Arabidopsis thaliana: one gene and its partner. The protein of the gene in region 1 interacts with the protein of each later gene in a pairwise test. Each region holds a gene or a part of one and is shown in the gene's direction. Other genes may lie near its edges. The genes, in order: AT5G47860 and AT1G72030.

Region 1 (3,926 bases):
TACACCAAAATCCTCTCTTCTGTGTCCTCATAGAAACCCAGAAGTCGAACAAGATTTTTGTGGTTAAGCCGCGACATAGACTCTAGCTCGTTCACGAACGCTGAATCCTTATCTGCTCGTCGGTGTCTCATCGTTGTCCCAGACAATGTAGGATTTGTTAGCTCAGCTCGTTTGATTGCGACATGACGTCCATCCGACAAAACACCTTGATAAACAGAGCCGAAGCTGCCTATACCAAGATGAAACCGGACAGAGAAACCATCCGTGGCTAGAGCTAGCTCGTCAATTGAGAACTCCATTAGCTGCCCAGGATTACCTAAACTTGCTAGAGTGCACAGCCTCTTCTCGAGCTTGGGTATGTCTATTGTCCTAGTATCATCAAGACGTCCAGAGTCATGGACACGGCATCGACAGTGGCTTTTAAAGATCAAGAAACTGATGACAAGGAGCAAGGAAAACGTTCCAACGCATCCGACCACTAGAAACGCAATGTTTCTTCTGCTCCAAGTTTTGTTCTTAGAGTTTTGAGCCCTAGTATCAGGAAACTCTCCATCATTTCTTTTCAAATCGCAAATCATCAACTCATTGCCGCATAAGGACTGTGATCCTGACAATGGACGGTAAGGGCATTCTCTTCTACACGGTCCTGGCATTACCACTTGAGAAATTAGGCCTTGGAATGGAGTGAAAACACCGGATTTAAAATTCTCATTCCCCCAACAAATTAGAGTGTAATTTCTTGTGGCAACACCGCAAAACATTGGCCCTTTAGCATATATTGATGTAAAATGAATGTCCTTAAGCGTTTGAGGCAAACTAAAGTTGTTGTTGTTGCCCCAACACACCACAGTTCCATTAGACCATCTAACACCGCAACCACGGTCTTCCCCAACCGCTAGTGCTAAGAACTTTTCACGTGGCAGCGACTGTGTTTGTCCCCAACACTCGACATCATTGTCAACAGTGATCGCACACGCTTGTCGTGATCCAGCCGCTATCGCGATGTAGTGGTCTCCACTCGGCACTTTGGCTATACCTTCACAACTGATCATACCAGGTGGCTGAGATAGCCCACAGAAAAAATTATCTCCCAAGGCAATGGAACGGTAATTATCCGGCCGTGGCAGATAGTACGGTTGCCAGCAACGGAGGCGCCTTGAGACTCTTTCAACTCCACAAATGCGGAAATTCCCGGCTTCTAGCTCTTCGAGCTCAGGACCGTGGTAGATTCTTTTGTGCAACATATTAGTTCCATCAACAGAGAATCTCCAACAAAGAAGTGTGGAAGTGTTGGAATCCAGCCGCGATATCAATCCGCACACAAACCCATTCCCTGAAACAACCCCCGAAAACCTTCGATTTCGAAGGTTACCGGTTAAAGAAAATGGAATCGAATTTAAAGGGAAACTGGAACATTGAAGATAAGAGTGGTTGTTGAGAGCACATACAAGAGTCTGATTAGAGATGTGGGAGATGGAGACGGTGGAGAGGGAGAAGCAAACAAAGGAGAAGGAAGATAGAACAAGAAGAAGGAGAGACACAAAGTAAGAGGAGAAACAAGAGATTGAGATGGTAAGTGCCATTGAAGAAGAGTTCTCATGGCGTGTGAATGTTTTATGTTTGAGGAGTTGTGTTTTTAAGACGGCAAATCAACGCGGTTAGAGAGACATGAGACAGAGACAGAGACACCTCCTTACCAAGAGACCAAAACTAAGTCTTATTTACTTCATTCATAGTGATTTTTCTCTATTCTAAATTATTTTTATGGTCAACTCTTTGAAAATTTCAACACTTACTTTCAGTGGCATCGTCGTATCTAAAAACTATACTTAATCCTTTGGTTGAAACAAAATAAAGAATGACTTTCGTTTATATATTCCAAGATCTTTTAACATTCATAATAGGGCTTGTACAAATCCTTCATGAGAGGATGACACTCTTCGTCATTTAATGAAAGCAAATGTGGCCCATTAAGTATAATTGAAGCCCAATTACCTTTCACACAGTTAACAATTAAGTTTTTGGTCTGATCACAATGTTTGCGTTAGCTGCGAAACAAGATGCTGTTACAGTCATAGAAGTCTTATGCGTACACGACTCCGATTTCAAAATCTGAACGGAATATAAACTCTCGACGACGAAAATCTCAAAAACCCCAAAATCTCCTCCAACTCCGAGTTATGGCTACATGTTCCCTCTTACCACCACCGTCTTTTTCTCCGCGCCGGCGATTCTGTAGTTTTTCTCACAATCGCCGGTCTCTACCTTCAATATTCAGTTTCAACAAAGAGCGTGTCTCACGAAGAGTCTTCTGTAGCTCCAAAGAGAACGATATAAACAGAGATCGGAATCAGTCTACAGGAATTCAAGTCTACGGCGAAATCGAGAGGTAAAGCCACTCTTGATTTTTCGCGTAGCTAGCTTCATCTTTAAGCTCACTATGGTGGAATCAAATTTGATTTTCAGGTTATTAACAGAGACTGTAAAAAATTCTCAGAGTAGCTCCGGTGGATCCTCTGATTGGTCAGAAGTTGAGGTGTGTGTTTTTGTGTTATCTCAATTTCTCTATGTGTTTTTGGATATGAACATTTTAGGAGCTTATCTTCAAATGTTGATTTGAATGTTTAATGGATGATTCTTAGAATCTAAGTCAAATTTAGGAGAATTGTCTGGTTTTAGAATAAGTTTTTTGTTTCAGATTTATGTTCTCAACGATTCGGTGAACTTGTTTTAGGGAGCATGGGTGCTGAAACCAAGAAACTCGAAACCGAAGATGGTTGTTCATTTCATTGGCGGTATATTTGTCGGTGCAGCACCACAGCTTACTTATCGATTGTTTCTCGAGAGATTAGCGGAGAAGTAAGTCTCATGGTGTAGACAATTTCATAAGATAGATGAGCAAACAAAAAAATGTACTAATGAATCTGGCTTATCTAACTCTAGTTTGTTTCATGAATTTATGATAACGTTGTGATGTTTGCAGGGATGTTTTGGTTATTGCGACACCATATGCTAGTGGTTTTGACCACTTCAATATTGCAGATGAAGTACAATTTAAGTATGATAGATGTTGCCGATCTCTACAAGAAGAAGTGAGTGTCCTTTTGTGATCCTAGAGAAACAAGAAATCTTTTTTGTTCTAGCTTTTTCTATGATCCAGGAGAAGAAAAATTGGTGTCAATGTTGAATAGTAGTTCATTTTCTTTCAACAGGTGCAGGATCTTCCGTCTTTTGGGATCGGTCATTCACTGGGATCTGTTATTCACCTTCTGATTGGTAACTAGGTTTAAATGGTTGTGAATGTTTAAAACTGATTCAGCTCATTAGTTTTTTTATTGAGTTGGTTTTCACTAGTCATTCAGGATCAAGGTATGCTGTTCAGCGAAATGGGAACGTATTTATGGCATTCAACAACAAGGTAAATTGGTTTTGCTATCTTACCAAAGTCAATCAGAGTTGCAATCAGAATTGTTTGGGGAAAACTGATCTAAAGTAATACTTTTTTTTATTGTAAAGATATTGTGAATCCTGTTATGGAATCACAAAACCTGTAAAAAGTGATATCTTTTTGGAACCCTACATTTTTGCAGGAAGCAAGCTTAGCTATTCCTTTGTTCTCCCCAGTTCTTGTCCCGATGGCTCAAAGCCTTGGACCACTGTTGTCACAGGTGGCAACATCCCCAACAATCCGCCTTGGGGTAAGGTTTTGATTCATTTGCTCTACTCTTTTTAAGATGTGCAGCTCTTAGCTAGTTTCCCAAGTGATAGTCTAACTTCTTGCTGTTGGTGTTGTATATGATCAATTTGTTTGGTAACTCAAGAAATGCTGTCATAAGTGCACTTAGTCCCTATAGATTTTGTTCTCTAATTATGTTTTTAAATGGCAGTAAATACTACCTTTGAATTTTGACACATGAAGTCATAAT
Region 2 (3,750 bases), on another chromosome or scaffold:
GGGAGGTCAACAGCTAGGATTAGGAGTGGCAGAGGGCAACATGGCGGCTGCAATGCGTGGCAGTAGAGGCGATGGTTTGGCCATGACTCTAGATCAACATCAGCATCAGCTCCAACATCAAGAGCCAAACCAGAGTCAAGCTAGTGAAAATGGTGGTGATGACAAAAAGTGATCAATCCTTTTCTCTAGTTCCACCTCATGACATTGTAATGACCACACTCGAGTTTGAAGATTCGCAATCTGCGGTTTGGCTATTAGCAACTCCATTTGTAAAACATGTTTTGGCGATGGCGGTTGAATGCTGCCATGCTTGAATGACAAATATGGTGAAACAGATAATGGTTTTAAGCTTTTGAACAGATTTGTCACATCATTTGTGGGTTTTTGTGTGCCTATGTGTGTTTTCTTGATTTCATCTCTCCTTTTGATTGTACCTTTTTATTAATAGATTTGTGAATATGTTGATCTTTCTTGGCTTTTGGGTTCTACGATACTCAAACAAAACTTTCACTTCCAATCAAAGTAAAAAAAAATATATCTGTCAGATTATCATTATTACAGCATCAAACAGCCAGCAAAAGAGGAAGACACAGAAGACTTAACCATAACGATAAGACTTGTGGCTAAGATCCAAAGGGAGAAAGAAAAACTCTCTTGCAAAAGCAGAGTTTGAGAATTCATACAAATTATTCAAGCTGTGAACAAGAGCATCCTGAGGGACTTAACCAGATTGAGTCTTCCTCTGCTGGAAAACGACTGCGAAGATAGGAACCCCAACACCGATGCTGAAAGCGGTGAATACACCGAGAGACATCTTGAGAGCTTGGTACTTCATGCGGTCCAAATTGTACATGTGTTTTGCGTGGAGGTAGTATTCATCGTAACCACCATGTCCTCCTCCGCTCATCTTCTTAACTCCAGTCGAGTGGAAGCTTCTAGTCACTGTTGTTGATGATATCAAAGAAATCTTCAGCAAGTTTTGAAATATTACCAATCAAACACTCATAAATCATCTTATAGCCCATTTAGTTTCAAGAGATACATCAAAACAAGCTGATCATAGCATGAACATGGAGCCTTTCACTGATCAACCAAAACTATCAAAACACGAACATGGAAAATTTCCATGAAACAAGGAAACATCAAAATATGCATTTCTAATTTCATGATACAATTTTTCAGCCTAATCATAAACAATCTGTTTCGCATCACGCCATTAAAGCGTGTTTCTATGACAAATTCGCGAGCAGAGAAGTTTCAAATCCCAGAATTCAATCAACGAAGAATCGCATCGGAATCAATCCGCGGCTAATCAGAAACATTGATATCTAGGCAATCAAACAAAACCTTAGAATAATCGATTCCTGGGAAATCAAACAAAACCCTAGACAACAAAAAAGGGGAAAAACAAAGAAATGCAAAACCAATTCAGCAGATACTTCTATTGGTACTGACCAGATCTGGAGACTGATGCTTCGGAAGAAGCAATGATCTTAGATACAGATCTGATGCTGGTGCTCAACGCCATGATTCAGAACTAATCGAGAAATTGCAAATGATGAACGACTTCTCTGGAAATTTTACGGCGAATTTGTTTTGGGGAGGAGAGGAGACTGAGAAATGAGAGATGATATCACACGTGCAAAGCGACATCTTCTTTTGGGCCAGGCCCATTTACTCTTACACAAGGCCTTTATTTAACTGTGTTGTTCAAATATTTTTGTTTTAAGTAAAAGCTGACAAAAATGTTCAGAAAAAAAAAACTTTGGGAATTTTCTTAGGAATCATATAACATGTCAAAATAAAAATTCATGTCACTTTCTTTGATGAACATGAAATATACTAATTTTTGCTTGCAAATCTCCACGTGTAGAGTCACCATTTGTCCACGTAGCTGAACTATTTTATCTTTTCTAACCCCAAAAAAATCTCTGGATGGTCATGAGCTAGCGATGATTCTTAACCACAGAAAACAGACGATGGAAGCAAGAAGCGTATCTTATCTCTACGTTTCATATTAAAGCGCATGAAAACGAACATAATAAAGATTCTCTTTTTTTTTTTTGAAAAATGCTAGAAAAATAAACATGGGTCACTTGCCACAGAGCCTCTACTCCGCCGCTGGACCAAAGTTTCCATATCCTGGAAGCTCCGGTCTAGGAGTAGATCAACGGAAGCTGACGTGGAGCCGCTTCCCGGTGTTCCTACGGTGCGCGTCGACGGAGTCGTTAACGAGTTTGACTCAGAATAATGCGGCGGAGATAGAGTTGAAGTATCTGGTGAGTCAACACGGGTGGGACGTGAGGAGATTGAATAGAGACGACGAGGATGAGATCAGGAGAGTGTCTCTTGTTCAAGCCGAAGCTTTCCACATCCCTCTTGCTCTTTTTGATGATTTTTTCTTCATGTTTTTTCAGGTTTGTTTATTTTTCATTCTCATATATGATTTACATTGAAGATTATTGTTTTGATGTATATGAAGATTTTGATAATATGTAATACAGGCAGAGGTTCTATCAGCACTTCTTTACAAACTAAAGAATTCACCACCTGACAGGTAAAACAAATAACATAACATAATTTCTTTAAGACTAGTTTTTAAATGTGATTAATTATAAAAGTTTTAAGAATTTGGCAGATATGCATGTCTCGTGGCGGAGCAAACAAGTGAAACTGAAACTTTGTCGAGCTCAAGTGTTGTCGGAGTAGTTGATGTAACAGCTCAAACTGAAAGTTCAGTACTTCGCTATTTTCCGGGCGTCGAAGAATATCTATACGTCTCGGGTTTAGCTGTCTCAAAATCTCAAAGGAGAAAGAAGATGGCAAGTACATTGTTAAAGGCATGTGATGTTTTGTGTTACTTGTGGGGTTTCAAGCTTCTTGCTCTAAGAGCTTATGAAGACGATGCAGCTGCTAGAAATCTTTACTCGAATGCCGGCTACAGTGTGGTCGAGACTGACCCGTTGTGGACCTCTACTTGGATAGGCAGAAAACGTCGCGTTCTTATGAGTAAACGCTTTTCTTAGGCGTTTTCTTCATGTACATTTTGGTTAAAACAATAAACACACTACCATCTAATTGGATACAGAGTAAATGTGCAGAAACATGAACTGAACTGAAATTTTAGACGACCAACAAGATTTCAAGAAACAAATTATCCAGAGACCAAACTTTTATACAAAAGGGTTAAACTAAACGGTGGCACGACCATGTTTTGTTTCTACATCTAAGATGGACAAAAGCGGCAGCAAACGTTTTTTTCCTAAATAAACGATATAAAAGCCGATCGAAACTATTGACATTCAATAACCTGACACGCTCCCTTGGAGCCAACAAAAACAGAGTCAGTGAATGGACAGTCACGCAGACGGTCTAGTGAGGAGTGACTTGAGATCTAGAGGCGGGAGATCTAATCCCGGGACATGATTGCCTGCTGGTCCCATCCAGAGACCTCCATTCTGATGTGGTAGCAGTACCGGCGACTGACTGTTGCTCTTCTCTGTAGATGTTTCTTGCTTCTTCTTCACAAACTCAAAGAACTCAGCGACCTGGCGTGCATACCTTTTAACAACATCAATCAAGAAAGTATCTATTAGATTTATGATTCCAAATAAGTTATGGTGACATTACAGTAGTGTGAGCACTTACTGTGTCTTTGCTTCAATATCCCGGCTGAAGTCGATATTGGGTTCACAGTCCAAAACCAGAGCAGGGACCTGTTACAACCAATGAACCAGTCTAAGCAAAATC

What was found.
Region 2: the proteins of AT5G47860 (region 1) and AT1G72030 interact in a two-hybrid assay, tested with the Arabidopsis thaliana proteins (one large-scale study listed by BioGRID).

What each region holds. Positions count from the first base shown.
Region 1 is NC_003076.8:19,379,476-19,383,401, forward strand, and holds the start of AT5G47860 (Gut esterase (DUF1350)), read left to right. Parts: upstream 1-2,043; 5' UTR 2,044-2,180; coding exon 2,181-2,389; intron 2,390-2,466; coding exon 2,467-2,536; intron 2,537-2,734; coding exon 2,735-2,859; intron 2,860-2,983; coding exon 2,984-3,092; intron 3,093-3,212; coding exon 3,213-3,276; intron 3,277-3,362; coding exon 3,363-3,418; intron 3,419-3,590; coding exon 3,591-3,698; intron 3,699-3,926. Other genes in the region: CCR4 (CRINKLY4 related 4), read right to left, coding at 1-1,583.
Region 2 is NC_003070.9:27,108,800-27,112,549, forward strand, and holds AT1G72030 (Acyl-CoA N-acyltransferases (NAT) superfamily protein), read left to right. Parts: upstream 1-2,032; 5' UTR 2,033-2,087; coding exon 2,088-2,417; intron 2,418-2,504; coding exon 2,505-2,557; intron 2,558-2,638; coding exon 2,639-3,026; 3' UTR 3,027-3,133; downstream 3,134-3,750. Other genes in the region: AT1G72010 (TCP family transcription factor), read left to right, coding at 1-172; AT1G72020 (TonB-dependent heme receptor A), read right to left, coding at 722-942, 1,456-1,528; dNK (P-loop containing nucleoside triphosphate hydrolases superfamily protein), read right to left, coding at 3,360-3,561, 3,649-3,716. UniProt on the Arabidopsis thaliana protein: Protein acetyltransferase with dual specificity triggering both N-alpha-acetylation (NTA), with a preference for leucine, methionine, serine, valine and to a lower extent threonine and alanine as substrates (can also use glycine), and epsilon-lysine acetylation (KA) of several plastid proteins.